Neurospora crassa OR74A: one gene and its partner. The protein of the gene in region 2 purifies or fractionates together with the protein of the main gene of each other region. This does not show direct contact. Links are inferred from orthologs where the notes say so. Each region holds a gene or a part of one and is shown on either strand. Other genes may lie near its edges. The genes, in order: NCU05782 and NCU06943.

What was found.
Region 1: the proteins of NCU06943 (region 2) and NCU05782 purify together in Saccharomyces cerevisiae (affinity purification with mass spectrometry; 3 studies listed by BioGRID). This does not show direct contact. The link is inferred for Neurospora crassa OR74A from reciprocal best matches to the Saccharomyces cerevisiae genes NOP56 and DBP3.

What each region holds. Positions count from the first base shown.
Region 1 is NC_026507.1:3,805,431-3,809,754, forward strand, and holds NCU05782 (ATP-dependent RNA helicase dbp-3), read left to right. Parts: upstream 1-1,416; 5' UTR 1,417-1,562; coding exon 1,563-3,140; intron 3,141-3,200; coding exon 3,201-3,313; intron 3,314-3,380; coding exon 3,381-3,534; 3' UTR 3,535-3,687; coding exon of another isoform or gene 3,688-3,769; 3' UTR 3,770-3,840; downstream 3,841-4,324. Other genes in the region: NCU05781 (mitotic spindle checkpoint component MAD2), read left to right, coding at 6-404; NCU05783 (oligosaccharide translocation protein RFT1), read right to left, coding at 3,688-3,769, 3,900-4,324. UniProt on the Saccharomyces cerevisiae protein: ATP-dependent RNA helicase required for 60S ribosomal subunit synthesis. Involved in efficient pre-rRNA processing, predominantly at site A3, which is necessary for the normal formation of 25S and 5.8S rRNAs.
Region 2 is NC_026507.1:848,499-853,107, reverse strand, and holds NCU06943 (SIK1), read left to right. Parts: upstream 1-1,791; 5' UTR 1,792-2,366; coding exon 2,367-2,536; intron 2,537-2,721; coding exon 2,722-4,117; 3' UTR 4,118-4,529; downstream 4,530-4,609. UniProt on the Saccharomyces cerevisiae protein: Required for 60S ribosomal subunit synthesis.

The DNA of each region.
Region 1 (4,324 bases), about 3.0 Mb from region 2:
TATAGGTCCAAATATTCTCCAAAGCCGCCCAATCCAAGACCAAATCCCAACCCGCTTCCGCTACCACCGACGACAACCAAAATCAATCTCCTAACGAAAACGCAGCCGCCTCCACCGCCGCCTCAACTCCCACACCTCCACTCGACAAGACCGAAGCCGAGATCCAAGCCGAGATCGCCGCCATCTTCCGCCAGATCACCGCCTCCGTCACCTTCCTGCCCCAGCTCAGTGGCGACTGCACCTTCAACGTGCTGGTCTACGCCGACGCCGACAGCGACGTGCCAGTCGAGTGGGGCGACAGCGACGCCAAGGAGATTGTCAACGGCGAGCGCGTACAGCTAAGGGGGTTTAGCACGACAAACCATCGGGTCGACACGTTGGTTAGTTATCGCCTGGCGGATTAAAACGAGTTTGACTAGCTGAGTAGGGACCGTAACGAATAATGTGTATTTTGGCGTTTTGAACTTGGGGTGGGATATGGATGGATGGGTAGGTATTTGCACATATGGCTTTTACATATGGATTGGCATTTTGCTGGCATGGGAGTTTTTGCGGAAAGGCGTTGGAGGGAAGCCGGGTACGATATCAGGGATTAATTTACTGCTGTTCACTTCATTTTTTACAACCCCCTCTGGTGTCTATCGAGGGTTCTTGAATGTCTTGAGATGTTGTACACCACGTCATCATACTCTAGGTACATACGATCAAGCTATCATAATGGTAAGATCAGCGTTAGTCTATTCCACATTATCTCTACCATTACTCATTATAAAAGTAATTACCTATATATTCTTAGTGAGGTCCGCTGGTCCTGAAACTCGTTTTTCGACACCAAACTAGTCTTGTTTTCTAGAGCTGGGCAACAGCAGCAAGGACGAGAGGGTTTGCATTTCTGTTTCGCAATGGGATGGGATGGGCTTGGGATGAGCGGTAAAAACACTGATACCTGGATCTGGACCTGATCTATAGGGAAAGGGTTCGAGCAGTGCGGAGGGCATCTCGAAATGAGTGCCTTGGTGCTTAACGTAGAGGTATCTTGGAGCTCAAGCATACTCTCTTTCAACCCTAACCCCCTGTATCGCGAGGTAATTACGACTCGGGGCTGACATCAAACCATGAAATTACCAAGACCCACTTTGAATCTTCAATACACTACCAGCACGCAACGCCCAGAGGAACCCAGACCGATTAGAATTCCCAAACTCAATGCACATAAGCAAGCATGGCGGTATCTCATATTCTTGGAAAACCAGGAGAAAGAAACAATGCTTCTTGCATCATGTCCTGCTGTTCCTGAATCTCTCACAAGGGACCCCGATGGAAAAAGTGGACCCGCGGGGATCAGACAGGGCCGGGGTCAGTGACAGGGCTTATCGATAAGGAAATTTTCCCAGCCGGCGCAGGTCTGGCGATAACAGAGCGGCACCCTTTTGGCCTCCTTCGCGACCCTTCCCTTCCCTTGAACCCTTCTCTCTTTAGCGAGTGTTGTGTTTCCGACAGTCGCCCATCCATCACCTTTCGCCAATCGCTTTCTGTGCGAGTGCGATCTCAATTCTACCACCATGTCTTCCACCAAGAAGCACTCCCGGAGCGAGGGCGAGGAGAAGGATGCCCGTCTCGCCAAGAAGGTCAAGACCGACGAGACCCCCGTCGACGGCGAGGTGAAGAAGGAGAGGAAGAAGGACAAGAAGGAAAAGAAAGACAAGAAGGAGAAGAAGGATAAGAAGTCCAAGAAGGAAAAGAAGGACCAGGACGAATCACCAGCCACCGAGTCCACCGAGGATGTCTCCATGCCCGATGCCGCCGCCGAGCCCGTAGCCGACAAGAAGGAAAAGAAGGAAAAGAAGGACAAGAAGGAGAAAAAGGATAAGAAGGAGAAGAAGGCCAAGAAGTCTGACGAGTCCACGACCGAGGAGTCAACCAGCGCTTCCAAGGCCACCACCAACGGCACCACCACTCCCGCCGCCTCTACCAACGGCGCCTACACCTACAAGCAGGCCGATGCCCTCAGCGCTCTCCCCGAGTCCGAGATCGAGACCTTCCTTAAGGAGAAGGAGATTGTCATCAAGGATCCTTCCTCCAGCAACCTCCGCCCCATCATGAACTTCTCCCAGCTCCCTCAGTCCAACCTCATCTCCAAGAACCCCTTCGCAGCCTACACGAACCCGACCCCCATCCAGTCCGCTTCCTGGCCCTTCTCGCTCTCCGGCCGCGATGTCATTGGTATCGCCGAGACCGGTTCCGGCAAGACCATGGCCTTCTCCCTGCCCTGCGTCGAGTCGCTGGCCTCGCGCCCCAAGCCCAAGTTCAACAGCCGCGACCGCACCGCCCACCCCCGCGCCGTCATCGTCTCGCCCACCCGCGAACTCGCCATGCAGACCCACGCCGCCCTTTCCGGCCTCGCCTCCCTGGTCGGTCTGTCGGCCGTGTGCATCTTTGGTGGCTCCGACAAGAACGAGCAGCGCAACCTCCTCTACAAGAACAACGGTGTCGACATCATCACCGCCACCCCCGGCCGTCTCAAGGATTTCTTGTCCGAGGGCTCCATCTCGCTGGCCAACGTCAGCTTCGCCGTGCTCGACGAGGCCGACCGCATGCTCGACCGCGGTTTCTCCGAGGACATCAAGCTCATCCTGAGCGGCTGCCCGCCCAAGGAGCAGCGCCAGACGCTCATGTTCACGGCCACTTGGCCCCTGGACATCCAGAAGCTCGCCGAGAGCTACATGATCAACCCCGCCCAGGTCACCATCGGCCACAGGACACGTGCCGGTGGCGATGGTGAGGGTAACGGAAACATCGAGCTGCAGGCCAACAGCCGTATCGAGCAGAAGGTTGAGGTTGTCGACCCCCGCGGCAAGGAGTTCAGGTTGTACGAGCTCCTTAAGGAGGCTCAGAAGGGCAGCCAGAAGGACGACAGGATATTGGTTTTCTGCCTGTACAAGAAGGAGGCCGTTCGCGTTGAGCAGTTCCTTTCTCGCAAGGGCATCAAGGTGGCTAGCATTCACGGTGACTTGAGGCAGGATCAGCGCACGCGCAGTTTGGAGGCGTTCAAGTCTGGTACTACCACCGTCTTGGTCGCTACTGATGTTGCTGCCCGTGGTCTGGATATCCCCGAGGTCAAGCTCGTCATCAACGTTACTGTGAGTTCAACCGCACACATCTTACTTATCGTCAATGGCCAAGTGCTAACAGATTCCCAGTTCCCCTTGACCATCGAGGACTACGTCCACCGTATCGGTCGTACTGGCCGTGCCGGTAAGCTGGGCAAGGCCATTACTCTCTTTACCGAGCACGACAAGGCCCACTCCGGATCGTGAGTTTCTATTCTTTCTTTCTGCCTCTAATATTTCCCCATGCTAACCACAAGTTTTCTTTTCCAGCCTCGTCAACATTCTCAGAGCCGCAAAGCAGCCCGTGCCCGAGGAGCTCCTCAAGTTCGGCACCACCGTTAAGAAGAAGGCCCACGACGCTTATGGCTCTTTCTACAAGGACATTGACCCGAACAAGAAGGCGACCAAGATCACGTTCGATTAAAGGAGAGAGGATGAAGATGATGTAGATACCACCACCATGCCACATGTTGTGTAAACATTGGAGCCATTTCAGTTATTCTTTCGGGACAAAAATTTCATTGGGCGTCTTTTTTTTTCGATCTCTGTCCGGTCTATCTCATGATCTAGTGTTTTCTCAGGACTTTTGTTGTTGTTGTTGTCTCTTACCCTGAAGGGCGCGATACCCGCTCAACAAGAAGTCTCTTTCGGCGATGGCCCTGTCGTTTGTCGTCGTGTTAGCTTTCTATATATATCCAAAATAGATGAATGACAAATGATCGAATCGAACTAACGGATGTGAACTTTCACGAAACTAAAAGGAAACGGAAAAGAAAAGGGAATACTCACACAGCAACAACAAAAGGCACCGCCACCCCTGCAATCTTGAACAACTCCCAAACCGCCTCTTTGGCACCCATCACCACCTCCTCTTGACTGGCTCCCACAACCCGTCCAACAACACTCCTAGCCACAACCGCAGCCGCCACCGCTCCCGGCTTAGGCAAGACGTCCAACACGCCGAACCTGACTTTTTCTTTTTCTTTTTCTTTCTCATCCTCTTCCCCGTCCTTCTTCCCCCCTTTCTCTCCCACCTTCCCATCCCCAGTCCCACTTCTTTCAGCAAACCACCGCCCAACAAACCCCCAACACCACACAATCCGACACGCCATATTCACCGCATTCGCCACCACCAGGCCCCTCGCGCCCATCCCCCACACCTTGAGCGTCAAGTACCCCGTGCCCGCAAAGACAAGACTGAAGAACGTCATGAA
Region 2 (4,609 bases):
GCCGGCCTCTAGGGTGACGCGGAGAGACGGTAGTATCATGTCAGAACAAGGCGAAGTCGCGGTCCTTGATGATGGTTTCGTGGGGTGTGCCGGCGCGGAGCTCGTAGACTGGCCATTGTTCCAAGTCCAGGGTAAGTTAGCGAATAGACTAGGCTTGGCAAGGTACGTAAGGATGGGGTTATGTCGTACGGAGATGCCGCTGTATAGCGACGTAACCCGGAGGGCATAAGGCTGAATCAATGGGGACGGATAGACAGACACTGCAGAGTACCTCTTTGACAGTCTCTTGGCTTGGAAGGTCGGTGTAGATGGAAGCTCATCGCAGCTGCGCACTGTTCAGGCCTCGACTGGGGCATCCAATGGCGTCTAGGAGATGGTGGAGGGTAGTATCAGCGCTGTTCCTTGTGCATGTCGAGTACCGATTTGATATATTGGTCAGATAGGTCGGGTACATATTCTCGTTCACAGCTCCACGACACGTTTGCTTGGTTGATGTTGATGCCCCTAATTCGAAAGCCACGGATCTCGCGCTTCGAGCTACATGAGCTACGTATGAGCGTGAGGCAAGCTGCTCGCCCGAAGAGCCATCATGATACAAACGACGGAAACAAATCACCACGCCAAATACCACCATGGACTTGGCATCACTTGAACTGTCGGAAGAGACTGGATCGACTGAGGTACTGTGTAGTATCGTGATGGTGTCGTCGACGCTGCGAGACCCAAAATGGAAATGATAGGTACACAGCGGCACCACATCCATGCAACGGGCCGGAATGGTGCGCCATCGAAACCCGTACGCTTCTGATGCGCTGAAGAACGGGAGCATTGGGGCAATTTGGGGGTGTCGTGCATGCTGTAGGGCTCTTCCGCCACTGTACATACTGTATCATCCCTCGAAGACCCGGAGTTGGTGTCGCTGATTGGATGTCCGGCTGGACGGAACCGTTTCACGACCAATCCCGCAGAAGCCAGAGAAGGCATTCCCAGATTGCGACGCCTGTGATCATCCAGACAACGGCCATTATAGGATGTGAAACCGATGATGAGCGACATGCTTTGAACACAATGGAATAATCAAAGCATCCCAAGTCTTGTCTTGTTGTTGTTGTTGTTGTTTCTGCCACGCCCTGACGAGAACATCAACGTCGTAGTAGACGATGCGTTGAATGTCCTGAGACCGGGCAGTCGATAATGCTGGCCTGAGTCATCGGGCGGTCCGGTCACTTCAGTTGGTAATCCCTTCATGGACGCCGGGTCTTGCTTGGGAATGCGAAGCGGTCGACACTTGTGACAACCCAAGTCCGAGGTGGGCATGTTGACATGAGGTGGCAGAGGGGAGCCCGAAAGAGAGAACTGAAGTACACCAGTTTGTGAGGCGAGAAGCGAGAGAACCCGTGACCAACGCCTTCACATTTCTCGATCTGACTGCATATCGTGTCTCGTGTGAGCAGACATGACGCCAACAAACAACATGGGATGGCATGTGTCTCGGTCGACGACAAAGGAGTATGTGTTTGCATATTGGCACGAAAACGACCGAATAAGTAAGGGGATTGTGGCATTGCCGCAATGGAAAGAAGAACAAGGATTCATCATGAATCATCCGTCTCGCTGCTTTCCGAATGGAAATGGAAAACCGTAAAAGGATCGATGAAGGACGGACTGTTACCGACACCGCCAAACAGTCCAAGCCTCAATCTCTCCCATTGTGCAGGTCAGACATGCAGATCGAGCCCATAGGGCTGATGTGAGTGAGGGAACTCGACCATTGGCCAAATGATATGCGATCTGGTTGAGTTCGATGCAAAGAGTCAGTCAGGTGTGGTGAGTGGGTGTGGGTGAATGGGGCAGCAAAATGTCCCGTGTCAGTGTGGGAGGTAGGACGACGACGAGGACCCGACTGTCAGACAGACAAGAGGCCAGGCACACGGACAGCTGTCGCTCAGCTGGCAAGACTCTTCTTATCCGAATTCTTATCGACACGAAAATCCAAAGGAGTTTCGCACAATTGCTGCTGCCATTGGTTGCTAAGCCTTCCCAGCTTACAGCGCTCCAACGGGCCAATGGGGTGGCCAATGCGGCGTGAATTGGGGTAGGCAGAATCCCCACCCCGCATGGCTGTGGCCCGTGCTTCGTCCTGAGCTTGCCGCAAAAATTTCGAAAAAACTTGTCCAGGGCAAAAGTGGCAGAGCAAAAAAATATCCAAACACAGCGCCGTTCTGATTCCCGGAGACCGAAGACTGAGTTCATGCACCGGTGGCATTGAACGACGCCCAATTGCGCACAACACTCCAATCCCAGCGCACCCGGTTACCCAGTCACCCATCAATCCAGAGTCATCATACGACAACATCACCGCTAAGATGGCCAACGTCAACTATCTTCTGTTCGAAAGCGCGGTCGGCTTCTCGCTCTTCGAGGTCGTCCACCAGGCCGACACTGTCGGCTTGGAGCTGCCCGAGGTCAAGGATGCCATGAAGGATCTCGACAAGTTCGGCAAGATGGTGAAGCTCCGCAGCTTCAACCCTTGGAAGTAGGTGGCCAGAAGCAAAAGCATTGTGTGGTTTTGGAGTTGGTGTTTCGGGTTGAGGTGGTTGTGGTGATTTCATGGTCATGTGGTGGTGGTGGTGGTGGTGGTGATGATGTTGGGAGGGACAGAAACATTGTGTGAATTGCTTGTCTTGGCTGAACCATAAACTAACGTTCCTTAACCTCCAGCTCTGCCGCCCACGGTCTCGAGGCCATCAACCTCATCTCCGAGGGTATCATGCCCGACCACCTCAAGAACACCCTCGAACTCAACCTCCCCCAGACCAGCGGAAAGAAGAGCAAGATCGTCCTCGGTGTCGTCGACAAGAGGCTCGCTGGTGAAATTAGCGGAAACTTCCCCGGTATTCAGTGCGAGGCTGCCGATACCTCCGAGGTCGTCGCTGCCCTCCTTCGCGGCATCCGCACCCACGCCGGCAAGCTCCTCAAGGGCCTCCAGGACGGTGACATCAACCGCGCCCAGCTCGGTCTCGGTCACGCCTACTCCCGCGCCAAGGTCAAGTTCTCCGTCCACAAGAACGACAACCACATCATCCAGGGTATCGCGACCCTCGATGCCCTCGACAAGGGTATCAACTCCGGCGCCATGCGCGTGAGGGAGTGGTACGGCTGGCACTTCCCTGAGCTTATTCGCATCGTCTCCGACAACGGCACCTACGCCAAGGTCGTTCTCGCTGTCGGCAACAAGAAGTCTCTCAGCGACGAGTCCCTCGACGAGCTCGCCAACGTCCTTAACCAGGACGAGGACAAGGCCAAGGCCATCATCCAGGCCGCCAAGGTCTCCATGGGTCAGGACATCAGCGATATGGATCTCAACATGGTCAAGGACCTCGCGGACAACGTCTCCAAGATGGCCGACTACCGCCGCATCCTCGCCGAGTCGCTCGACAAGAAGATGGGCGAGGTCGCTCCTAACCTGCAGGTCATCCTCGGCACCCCCGTTGCCGCCCGCCTCATCTCGCACGCCGGCTCCCTCACCAACCTCGCCAAGTACCCCGCTTCTACCCTCCAGATCCTCGGTGCCGAGAAGGCCCTCTTCCGCGCTCTCAAGACCAAGGGCGCCACCCCCAAGTACGGTCTCCTCTACCAGAGCACCTTCATTGGCCGCGCCGGTCCCAAGGTCAAGGGTCGCATCTCCCGCTACCTCGCCAACAAGTGCTCCATTGCCTCCCGTATCGACAACTTCTCTGAGAACCCCACTAAGCGCTTTGGTGAGGTTATGCGTGAGCAGCTTGAGCAGCGTCTGGAGTGGTACGCCAAGGGCATCAAGCCCATGAAGAACACCGAGGCCATGGACAAGGCCATCAAGCTCGTCATGGACGACGAGGGTGACATGGACATTGACACCGAGATGGTCGACTCGCACACCGCCACCCACGCCGCCGACTCCAAGAAGGACAAGAAGGAGAAGAAGGACAAGAAGAAGGACAAGGAGGAGAAGAAGGAGAAGAAGGACAAGAAGGACAAGAAGAGGAAAGCGACTAGCGAAGACGTCGAGATGGTAGACGCCCCCGACGCTGCGGAACCCGAGAAGAAGAAGAAGAAGAAGAAGTCGAAGTCTGAGTAAAAAGACCGAAAGAAAAAGAGCCAAAAAGCAGCGTCACCACTTGTGTCTTTTTCACGATTTTTACTTTTTTTCTTCGTCATCTTGTTTAGAGCTTCTCGTCGCGTTTTTTGGCACGTCGTTCTTGTTGGTTCGCTCTGTTGTCGTTGTTATCCTCGGGAGTTTCTTATAATGTATGGGGTATGGGTCAAATCTGGTACAAAGGAGTTTTACGGGTCTACTTGTTTCTTGCAAGAATCATAAATAGTTCGTCGTTGTCGTCATTCACATCTCTTGCCATCTACGACTGATCATAGAGGGGTAGCGCAAAAAAGTTGAAAAGGATGTGCGTGTGTACTAGCATCATACCCATGGAGCATCATATGGCGGCGATATGGGTAAAAACAAAGGCTCATTAAACGAAACGGAACGTACGTCTAAAAGTACCTGGTTGATGTGAAGTGTCATGAATCTATGTACTCTTCCAATATCGCATGATTGCAAAACGCCCATCGA